Ovis aries: one gene and its partner. The protein of the gene in region 2 purifies or fractionates together with the protein of the main gene of each other region. This does not show direct contact. Links are inferred from orthologs where the notes say so. Each region holds a gene or a part of one and is shown on either strand. Other genes may lie near its edges. The genes, in order: TOR1AIP1 and CHCHD4.

Region 1 (4,563 bases), on a different chromosome or scaffold from region 2:
CCCAGGCTTCTGCCTCGAAAAACTGTGTCCCATCCCCAGAGGACTTCATGAGTGTTTTTATAAGTGGGTCAAAGGTGGGGTGTCTGACAAGATAAGGGTGTGAGCAGGGTTTGCACTCCCTTACTCTCATCTCAGGTGGTCAGTCTCCTAATCCTGATGATTAATCTGGGCCTTTTAATCTTGCATCAGGTGAGTTCTTGGTTGTTCTTACTTTGATTAGCGACTGTTGGAACCTGCTCTTTGGAACTCAGAGAAGGTCATAATGGCTATCGTACTGCCTCCAAACAATGGCAAGACTCACAGGGGCCCACTCAGTTTCAATCTCTTCAGAAATGTGTAATTAAGGGGTTCCCTGGTGACTCAGTGGTAAAGAATTCGCCTGCCAATGCAGAACACTTGGGTTTGACCCCTGGGTAGGGAAGATTCCTCTAGAGAAGGAAATAGCAACCCATTCCAGTATTCTTGCCTGGGAAATCCCATGGACAGAAGAGCCTAGTGGGTTACAGTCCATAGGGTGGCAAAGAGAGTCAGACACGACTTAGGGGACGCTAAACAACAAAAAATTAGGTTTACCAAAACTTGGGAATTGAACTAGTAGTAGTTCTTACTACTCTTTAGGACAACATAAAAATAAACTACTCAGCAATGATGCTTTACAAAATAAATATAGAAATATTACTCTAGAAAATTTAAAAGACGGGCTAAAGAGGAAGAATGAAAAACGTGTAGATTCTCATAGATTTACTAAAAATAGAAGTAAATCCTTTGTGTGTTAAACAAAAAACAAACAAACTAGCTTTTACAATTGCATAGGCCTGCGTGGAAGTCATACAACTTAGCATATTTCCTTTGCCTTCCAAAGCATTCTTCTAGCTACTGGAGATACAGAAAGAACATAAACACTGAAGTATAACATGGTCCCTCAAATATATATGTAGGATCTGTGTATATATGTAGGATCTTTGTCTTCAGAAGTTTATAATCTTAAAAGAGATAAAACATGTATAGGGGTTACACGGTCTTGGTATTACTCCCAACAGTAACTCACATATCTTTAACATAATTTCCAAAATCATCAACACTTCTACTGTGTCAGCACTTCAGGCATCAGCAGGCAATGTGCAGTCTATTTCTCAGCTCTAAACTGAGAAAATCCACCTCCTCTTCATCATATCCACCAATGGTCTATTACCAACTATGTAATCCCATTATGATTCAAACCCCTTGGTTTTACCTCACAGGTGCGCTACCTGGAGCCAACATGAAACTCCATCTGTGACTCAGTGTTAGATGGGATAGGGGCAGCGTGGGACAGGATGCATTACCGGCGATGATTCATTCATCTGTGACTTTCCTAAAACTACACAATCACTTTGTCAGTAACCCTGTGGCCCATTTAGATGAAAACTAATGAAAGTCTTGCTTTGTCACGCTACTGCTTAACTACTGAGGTTACACTGACGGTCCCCAACATCCGAATTTCTGGCAGAGACCACCACACTAGAGAAAGAGTGATCAGTTCAAGTTTATCACACACTGGGAAGCTTCAGGTTCAGGATGACTGCCTTGACCCCGTTTCAGTGTAAACCATGTGGGTGGGATCTCAAATCAATTCATCAACTATGCTAGTCCTCAAACGGCCACTCACGAAATTCCCCTTCCTTTCTCCCCTCCTGGATAGTGACGGGGAAAGACTGGAAGGTTAGATGAGGACCAAATCTCACTGAAGGATTTCTGGCCTCGGAGTTAAAGGAGGAAATGGAAGTGGCTTTGGCAGAAACATCCCAGGGTAGAGAGAACCGATATGAAACCGATGTGAAACTGAACTCTGAGTGATTCAGTGTCCTGCCTTCTGCCTAACTCGCCGCCCCGAAGTGCAGGCCTGCAGAAAACGGGCAATCCTGACACCTCTAAATTGATGCCCAAGGAAGCACGCGGCTCCTCGACTGTGCTCAGGTCACTACGCACGACCGCCTTTCCTTCCGGCGCCCCCGCCCTGCCACTTTCCCGCCAGCCGACGGGGCGGCCCGGGGGTGGGGGCTCACGTCCAAACCGGAGAAGCTCAGAGGGGACGAGCTCAAGGCAGGCACACGCCCGCCCAGGACGCGCACACCCTTCGCGCGTACCCGCCCACGGCACTCCCTCCCTGACTCGCGGCTGACACTGTTACCTCCGACTGTCTCACCTTCGGATGAATGGGAGTCCCGTAATCCTCTTCTGGTCGTAACCGGAGAGGGTCGTATCGGAGGCGGCGGCGAGTGCAGCTGCTCCTGGAGGCGAGTAGCTCTCCGAGTCTGCATCTCCTCGGCTTCGTGGAGTCGGGGTTGCCTTCGCTGCCGAGACCGAAGGTAATAGGCGCTTTCTCTCACTTCCTCTTTCGCCGAATCGGGCCGGAACCCTTCTAGCGGAATCTGTCTTCCCACCCGGGCCTTTTCTTTGGCCGCCCGGGGCTCGAAGTCGCCGTACACTTCGGGCGGCTCTTCTGAGAACCTCACTTCCCGCCGGCCGTGGCGCGACGGCGTAGGAGTTCCGTACGCAGGCACGTCACTGCTGCCGCCATTTTGAGGGGCGAGCCGGGGCCTTCCCTCCCGTAGCGGAGCCCTGGGCGTGACGTACAGCGCCCATCCTTCCCTCTCCGGCTCCGCCCGCCGCCCCTCGCCTGCCATAGTTGTTGACGTAGCTTGAGTCGCTCGCGACGGTGTTTTGCGGTGCCCTTAAGAGTCTCCTGCCGTTGGTGGCGATCGTTTTTCGGGGTGTAGGGCGGTGGTGTCGGCGGTCAGGGAGGCAGTTGAGCGTCGCCGGGGCTGCCGCCTGCGTCGTCGCTGCTGTGCTGCAAACCGGCCCCTGGGCCCATGGTGTGCTCCGAGGGCTGTGGGAGAGGCAGTGCCTGTGCTGGGTCAGCTGCCGCGCGGGTCACTCCCGCCTCCTGGCTGAAGGCACCAAAGAGGAGGAGAAGAGCGAGGAGGCGTCGCTGTCCTCGGCCTTCGGGGAGGGAGGGAGGGAAGACGGAGAAGGGACAAGTGGCTGGGCAAATTGCCGGTCCTCAGTCCAGCTGCTCCTGGCAACTGTTGCCTGCTCGCAAGAGGCGCCCGGCCGGGCCCCCAGCACAGAGTCGCTGGGAAAGGCGGAGTGAAAGGCGGGTGGAGAAGTCTCGGTCCTCAGCCCCAGGCTGTTGCGCAGTTTTCCCGCAGCCTTTTTGATCGACTCTTGCCTTCGCCGTACCTTTCCAAGTGTCCCTTTGCAGGGCTGATAAGACATATTCGCAGGTGTCATCTTTCCCTGGAGAAAATTTTAGTTTGAAGTTCCTTGGGAAAGCAGTTTACCAGTTTTAGGTTTTAAAAGTCACTTGTTGAGTACAAAATCGGATCTACAGGCTTACTTGGGTGGATTTCCATTTACAAAATGTACGCAGCAAACAGTATTACTCCTGATTTCGTATAAAGGCTCTACTTCAGCAACACTGTTCAGAGACATTGTTAGTGCTGTGCTATGGGCAGTGAGAAGTGAACAAATACTTTGATTAAAGAGAGCACTGTAATTTTCAGTTGTGATCCATTATTTTCACTTTGCTTCTGAGCATGACTTGATATGCTGCGTGTGATACAGGATTTTTTTCTGCGTTTAGTTACTGAATAAGAAAACATGACAAAACCATTTGTTTCACTTCTGTGTACCGTATTTGCAGATGTGGAAAATCTGCAAATATCTAAACTTAGACACACTGAGGGAATGTTATTGAAAAATCGGATAATCTTGCCTTCACATACACACCCCCTTCTCGGACGATTTTCCATAATTGATTTTAGTGACTAGATTTTAAAATTTGCAATTTGGATAGCAGTTACAGTGAATGGGCCTGAAAATTTTGAAGTGAAGTGTAAGTCGCTCAGTCATGTCTGATTCTTTGGGACCCCATGGTGTACTGTCCCTGGAATTCTCCAGGCCAGAATACTAGAGTTAGTCTTTACCTTCTCCAGGGGATCTTCCCAATCCAGGGATCGAACCCAAGTCTCCCGCATTGCAGGCATATTCTTTACCAGCTGAGCCACAAAGGTGTGTACTCTTTCATGTATTTAAAATCACTTTAGAATGTTTTTGAGCAACTCATTGTCCAAACTGGGGGCACATATTTTATTTTAATGAAATTTAACGATGTCTTGTGTTTTCACTAATAGGCCATAAATTTGGCCACAGACACAAGTAATTACATGCTTTAGAATCACCTAGGTTTTTGCTTGATGGAAGCTCTTGTTTAGTTTTCTGTTTTTTTTTTTTTTGTTGTTGTTGTTTTTTAATTATATACAATACAGCCAAAGAAACAGAAGGAATAGCAACATGAGAGATCCTACTTTTTAAAGAATCTTTTATCTTAGGGAAAATTAAAAGCATGTTCTCCCTTGTCAGCCTGAGTTAGTATATTTGAAAAATTTGTGGGACATTTCTCTGACAAAATACCGCGAAGTGTTGATACTTGGTTAATATCTGGCTTTTACTTGTTTTAACTAGTGCTTAATAAGGTACCTATTATATTACTCTATTAATATGTAACAGGAGAAGTACTGT
Region 2 (4,558 bases):
CGTGCTGTCGTCCAGGAGCGCATTCAGACACCTCACAGCCACCTTGCCCTGACTTCAGACCTCCTGCTCAGATGGCACCTTCCTTCATCCCTCCCCATCGCCTCTAACCCGCCTTCTCTCACCCACAATTACTTATCTGTTTACCACCCATCTCCTCGACTGACATGTCAGCTCCTCGGGGGCAAGGGTGCATCTGTTCCATTCACTGCAGTAGCTCAGAGCCTAGAACAGTGCCTGCGACACAGTGAGCAATCAGTATTTGCTGGAAAAGTGAGTGGGGAAATGAGCTCTGAGCTCAGACAAGAAGATCCCAGGCCCCGCTGAGTATGGAGGAGAGATGGCTATCACCATGAAGCAGGTCACAGGGACAAAAATAACACCTTGCTCGGGTGGTCTCATTTCCCCTAGAACACATCACCGCTTGCCACACCCAGCCTGCCCCCTCCACTGCCTCCACCATGCCACGGGGCAGACTACCCACCTGTGCCAACGGCCTCTGCCATGTGGTCAGGGCCGGCACATCACAGGTGCTCGGTGACTGTCTCCTGACAGAACAGGAAAGAGCGAGGCCAGCTGGAAGGAGGACAGCGACAGGGGCAGGGCGGCCCCGGGCCAGGGAGCCGGCCGGAGTCCATGCTGCCTAACGCCCTGACTGACCCCAGGGCTGGGGGGCGGACCCCTGAAGTCAAGTGCATGGGCAAGTGATTCCCTCAGAAGAGAGGGCAGCCGTGTGTACCGGTCCACTGGGTGACGCTGCGGGGAGTGTGGCCCATCTAATGCTCTCAGCCTGCTGCAACGCAGACAAGCCGGAAGAGGACAAAAGTACACCAGGGAATTTCCGAGAGTTTAGGATGTGGAAGACAGGAAGGCAGGGAAGACCTCACTGAGGAGGTGGCATCTGCACTGAACCCTAAAGGATGACGAAGCAGCCGTGAGAAGAGCCGGGGGAGGGACGCACCAGGCCAAGGGAATAGCCAGAGGCCGGCCTGGCTGCACAATGACAGGTGCGTAGAGACCAGCAGGAGCCAGGTCAGGCCTCAATCACACAGGCCTTAATCAGGAAGGAGCTGGGGTCAGTGCTCTAAGTCCCATGGGAAGCATAAGGAATCCATGGATAGAAAAACAAGAAGTTCGGGACTGAGGGGACAGTGGCGTGGATAGATAAAAACCACGCAAGGCCTAAAGGGAGTGCTTTTAATTCTTATCCCCAAAGAAAGAAAGTGATCTTTGATCCAGGAAAAGATATGGGTCTGAACACTTACCTCTGCTTCCCAGATAACATGTGACTCCTAGGAACCCACAAGAATGAGGATTATAGCCTCATTATACTCAAAAGACTAAAAAAAATCTGCTACACAAAGGAGTAAATTAGACTCAGGACGATGAAATAAAAAACTAGAGACCTACTCTCTAACAAACTGGTGAGGGCAGAGGACTTCTGCTCATGGCAGAGTTCAGTATCAATCAATGGGACCTGCTTCTCAGAGAGAGACATCACTGTGTCGTGGCTTTGCGGCCCAGGGAAGGAGGGTTCCTGAGGCAGAATGGGGTACTGGGAAATTGGTCACTCAGTCGTGTCCAGCTCTTTGCAACCCCATGGACTGTTGCTCTGTCCATGGGATTTTTCAGGTGAGAACGCTGGAGTGGGTTGCCCTTTATCAGAATTCCATGGACTGTATAGTCCATGGGGTCACAAAGAGTCGGACAGGACGGAGCCACTTTCACTTTCCTCCTCCAGGGGATCTTCCCCACCCTGTGACTGAACTCCAGTCTCCTGCATTGGCATCTGAGCCACCAGAGGAGGCCACTGGCACAAAGGCTTAGTATTTTAAACTGAGCCGTGAGCTGAAGCTTGACACACTTCTCCTAATTGAAGCATGACCTTGGGCAGGTCACCTCCATCTCTGGGCTCAGGATTTCCTGAAATAACTGAGGGAGCTGGAGTATTCACTAGAGAATTTCCTGGGACTTCCACTTCTCTCTGGAACTTCAGTCTCAGATATCCACCCTCCCCCTCACCCGGCATGGAGAAGGTGCTTCATGAATATCTGCGGAATGAATGAAGACTAACTTCTCATTTTACAAGACTGGACAACTGGGCCTGGAGGGCCTGGGTGTCAGCTCAGGGACAGTTCGTGGTTGCGCGGGGAGGCCCGCGAACCGCGGCCTGGAGACTTCCTAGGTGAGAGACCGCAGGCGGGGACCAACTTTTGTTTTTTTCTGCGGGATGTCTTCCCAGCGGAGGGCTCCCTGGAGTCCTCTGGGCACCAGACGGAGAAGCTCTGGAATCAGACCGCGGGCTCCAACCCCAGCTCCGCGAGTAGCCCGCCGCGTGGCTCAGCCAAGTCACCTCTGGGGTCTTGGTTTACTCTTGGGATAAGAGCAGGGCCTGATTTAGGAAAGTCGCTGCGAGACAGGCCACTCAAGGCTCCTGGCGCAGGGCCTGACCCGTGCCCGCCGGCGGCACTCCCACCGCCAGCGTCGCGCCCACCGAGGGGCGACCTTCCGGGTCAGTTAGAGGCGGTGCAAACGGGAACACGTGGTGCGTGGCGAGCGGCGTAGCAACATAATTAGTAATCAGCACATTTCCCGTTACCAGCCTCAGGCAGCGCGCTCGCGCCGCTCTAACCCCCGGGCCCAGTTTACGAGTCTCCCCACGTGCTGTTCCCTCCGAGGTCCAGGTTCGAGTCTCTCCGAGACCCGGGACAGCCTTACTGCTCCGTGGGCCTCGGTTTTCTCATCCGAAAAGTGGGGCTGGCGACCCCGCCGCCAACCCGCACCCTCCTCCCGGGAACTCGTGCCCCGCGCCCTCAGTGGGGGCGCTGCATGGACCGCGTGTCGCAGGGCCTCGGAGGCCGTCTCCACGCAGCCCGCCCTCCTACCTTCCTGCCGGCAGTAGGCCATGATGCAGCCCGGCGCTCCGACCTCGCGGCGGTCGCCTCACGCCGTGACCTCTCCGCGGCGGGGCGGGCGGCTCGGAGGCCCGCACGGACCCGCCCCCCAGGCCTGCCCGCCGCGCGCCTGCCTCGGCGCTTCCAGCTCGGCGCGCTCAGCCGGTAACTACATTTCCCGGCAGGCTGCGCGCCTCGCGGCCACGCCCCAGGCAGTAGGAACTACATTTCCCAGAATGGCTTGCAGTGCGCGGGCGCGTCTGTGAGGCGTCAGTGGGTGGCAACTTTCGGAAAGCACCCGACCCAGGACTACGTTTCCCAGGAGGCAGTGCGGCACGGCGAGCGAGGGCCAAAAGAGCCCGGGCTCCCTGGGCGGCAGCTCTGTGGCGCGTCCCGGGCCCTGGGTTGCGCCGCTGTCTGCCGCTCTCGGGCGGGCGAGAGGTCGCGGACTCAGTGCTGCGGCGTAAACCCTACTCCGCGCTGGGCCGAGCGAGGCGGGCGGCGACCGGGCCCCACCATGGCCGCGAACGTGAGTGTCTCCTGGTCCGCCGGCCACACCCAGGCCTCCCGGTCCTCCGGCCCCTCTTCCCGCGGGCGTGTCGCGGCGCCCTGCCGGGTGGTCCCCCCCGTCCACTCGCCCGCCTCCCTCCCGCACCCGTGTCCGCGCCTTCCGGCAGCTGTGCCGTCTGTCTTGCTCAGCCCTGCCCGACTCCTTGGGCCCCGCGGTGTTGGGGACCGGGCCTCTGGCCCGTGGCTCCGGCTCGGGGGTCCTCTGGTGCGGGGCGCCTCCGCGTAGCCCTTCTCTTCGTTCCCGGTTCCCTCCTGGACCTTCAGGGTTGTCACGTGTGCGGACTTGGAGGGCCGGACGGGGCCGCAGAGAGGTGGCCAGTCCACGGGGGCGGTGGGGAAGCCGATCCGCCCTGCTGGAGCTGTCCAGCGACGTGCTGTACGGGGCGGGCGGTGAGCTGCGTGCCCAGCGGGGTATGTAAGACCGGGGCTGTTATGATACAGGGGCGCAGGCCAGGTGGGGAGCGGAGACTTCAGGGCGGCGGGCAGAGGGGGGCATTTCCCTACGGCCGGGCGCTCGTCCTCCTAGCAGGGGTTTAGTTGCAGAGCCCCTCGCTGAAGGTGGTGCCCCTGGAAAGGCTGCTGGCCTCCTGCCAGCAGCCAGCCTTTCTCAGGAACCTTTCTATTTAAGCCAAACATTCATTCAACAAACCGAGGGGCACCTCCCACCAGGGTGTTGGGAGAAGGAGCTGGTGACTCAGGCTTCGCTCCTCTGTGAAAGTGTCTGGAGCCAGCTCGGAGCCCTGCCAGCCGGGGCACTCCCTCCCTCTTGCTTTGGTTGAGCGTCCTAGCCACTCTCCGCTGCTCTGTTACACCCTTCCAGGCTCCTCCTCTGTCCCCAAGCGTCCTCTCTGCCTTCCACACCCCCTGAGAAGCCAGGGCTTTCGTCACCCACAGCCCCAGTACACCCTGCCTGGTGTAGAGTTGTTTGGGAGGCCGAGAAGCCTTAAGCGGTGCACCTAGAGGTGGTCCCCCAGATGCAGGGTCTGCCAGGGGAGGCCTGGGCTGTGTCAGGAGACAGGCGTGCCCTCAGACCACCGCCACCATACCTTACAGATGAGGGCTTCCCAGCAGGGGCACGTGCTTGCCCAGGGCCCCAC

The links.
Region 1: the proteins of CHCHD4 (region 2) and TOR1AIP1 purify together in Homo sapiens (co-immunoprecipitation; 3 studies listed by BioGRID and IntAct, with this or other methods). This does not show direct contact. The link is inferred for Ovis aries from reciprocal best matches to the Homo sapiens genes CHCHD4 and TOR1AIP1.

Annotation. Positions count from the first base shown.
Region 1 is NC_056065.1:60,482,508-60,487,070, reverse strand, and holds the start of TOR1AIP1 (torsin-1A-interacting protein 1), read right to left. Parts: upstream 2,886-4,563; 5' UTR 2,667-2,885; coding exon 2,186-2,666; exon of another isoform or gene 2,138-2,185; intron 1-2,137. UniProt on the Homo sapiens protein: Required for nuclear membrane integrity. Induces TOR1A and TOR1B ATPase activity and is required for their location on the nuclear membrane. Binds to A- and B-type lamins. Possible role in membrane attachment and assembly of the nuclear lamina.
Region 2 is NC_056072.1:58,006,785-58,011,342, reverse strand, and holds the start of CHCHD4 (mitochondrial intermembrane space import and assembly protein 40), read right to left. Parts: upstream 3,052-4,558; 5' UTR 2,905-3,051; coding exon 2,883-2,904; intron 1-2,882.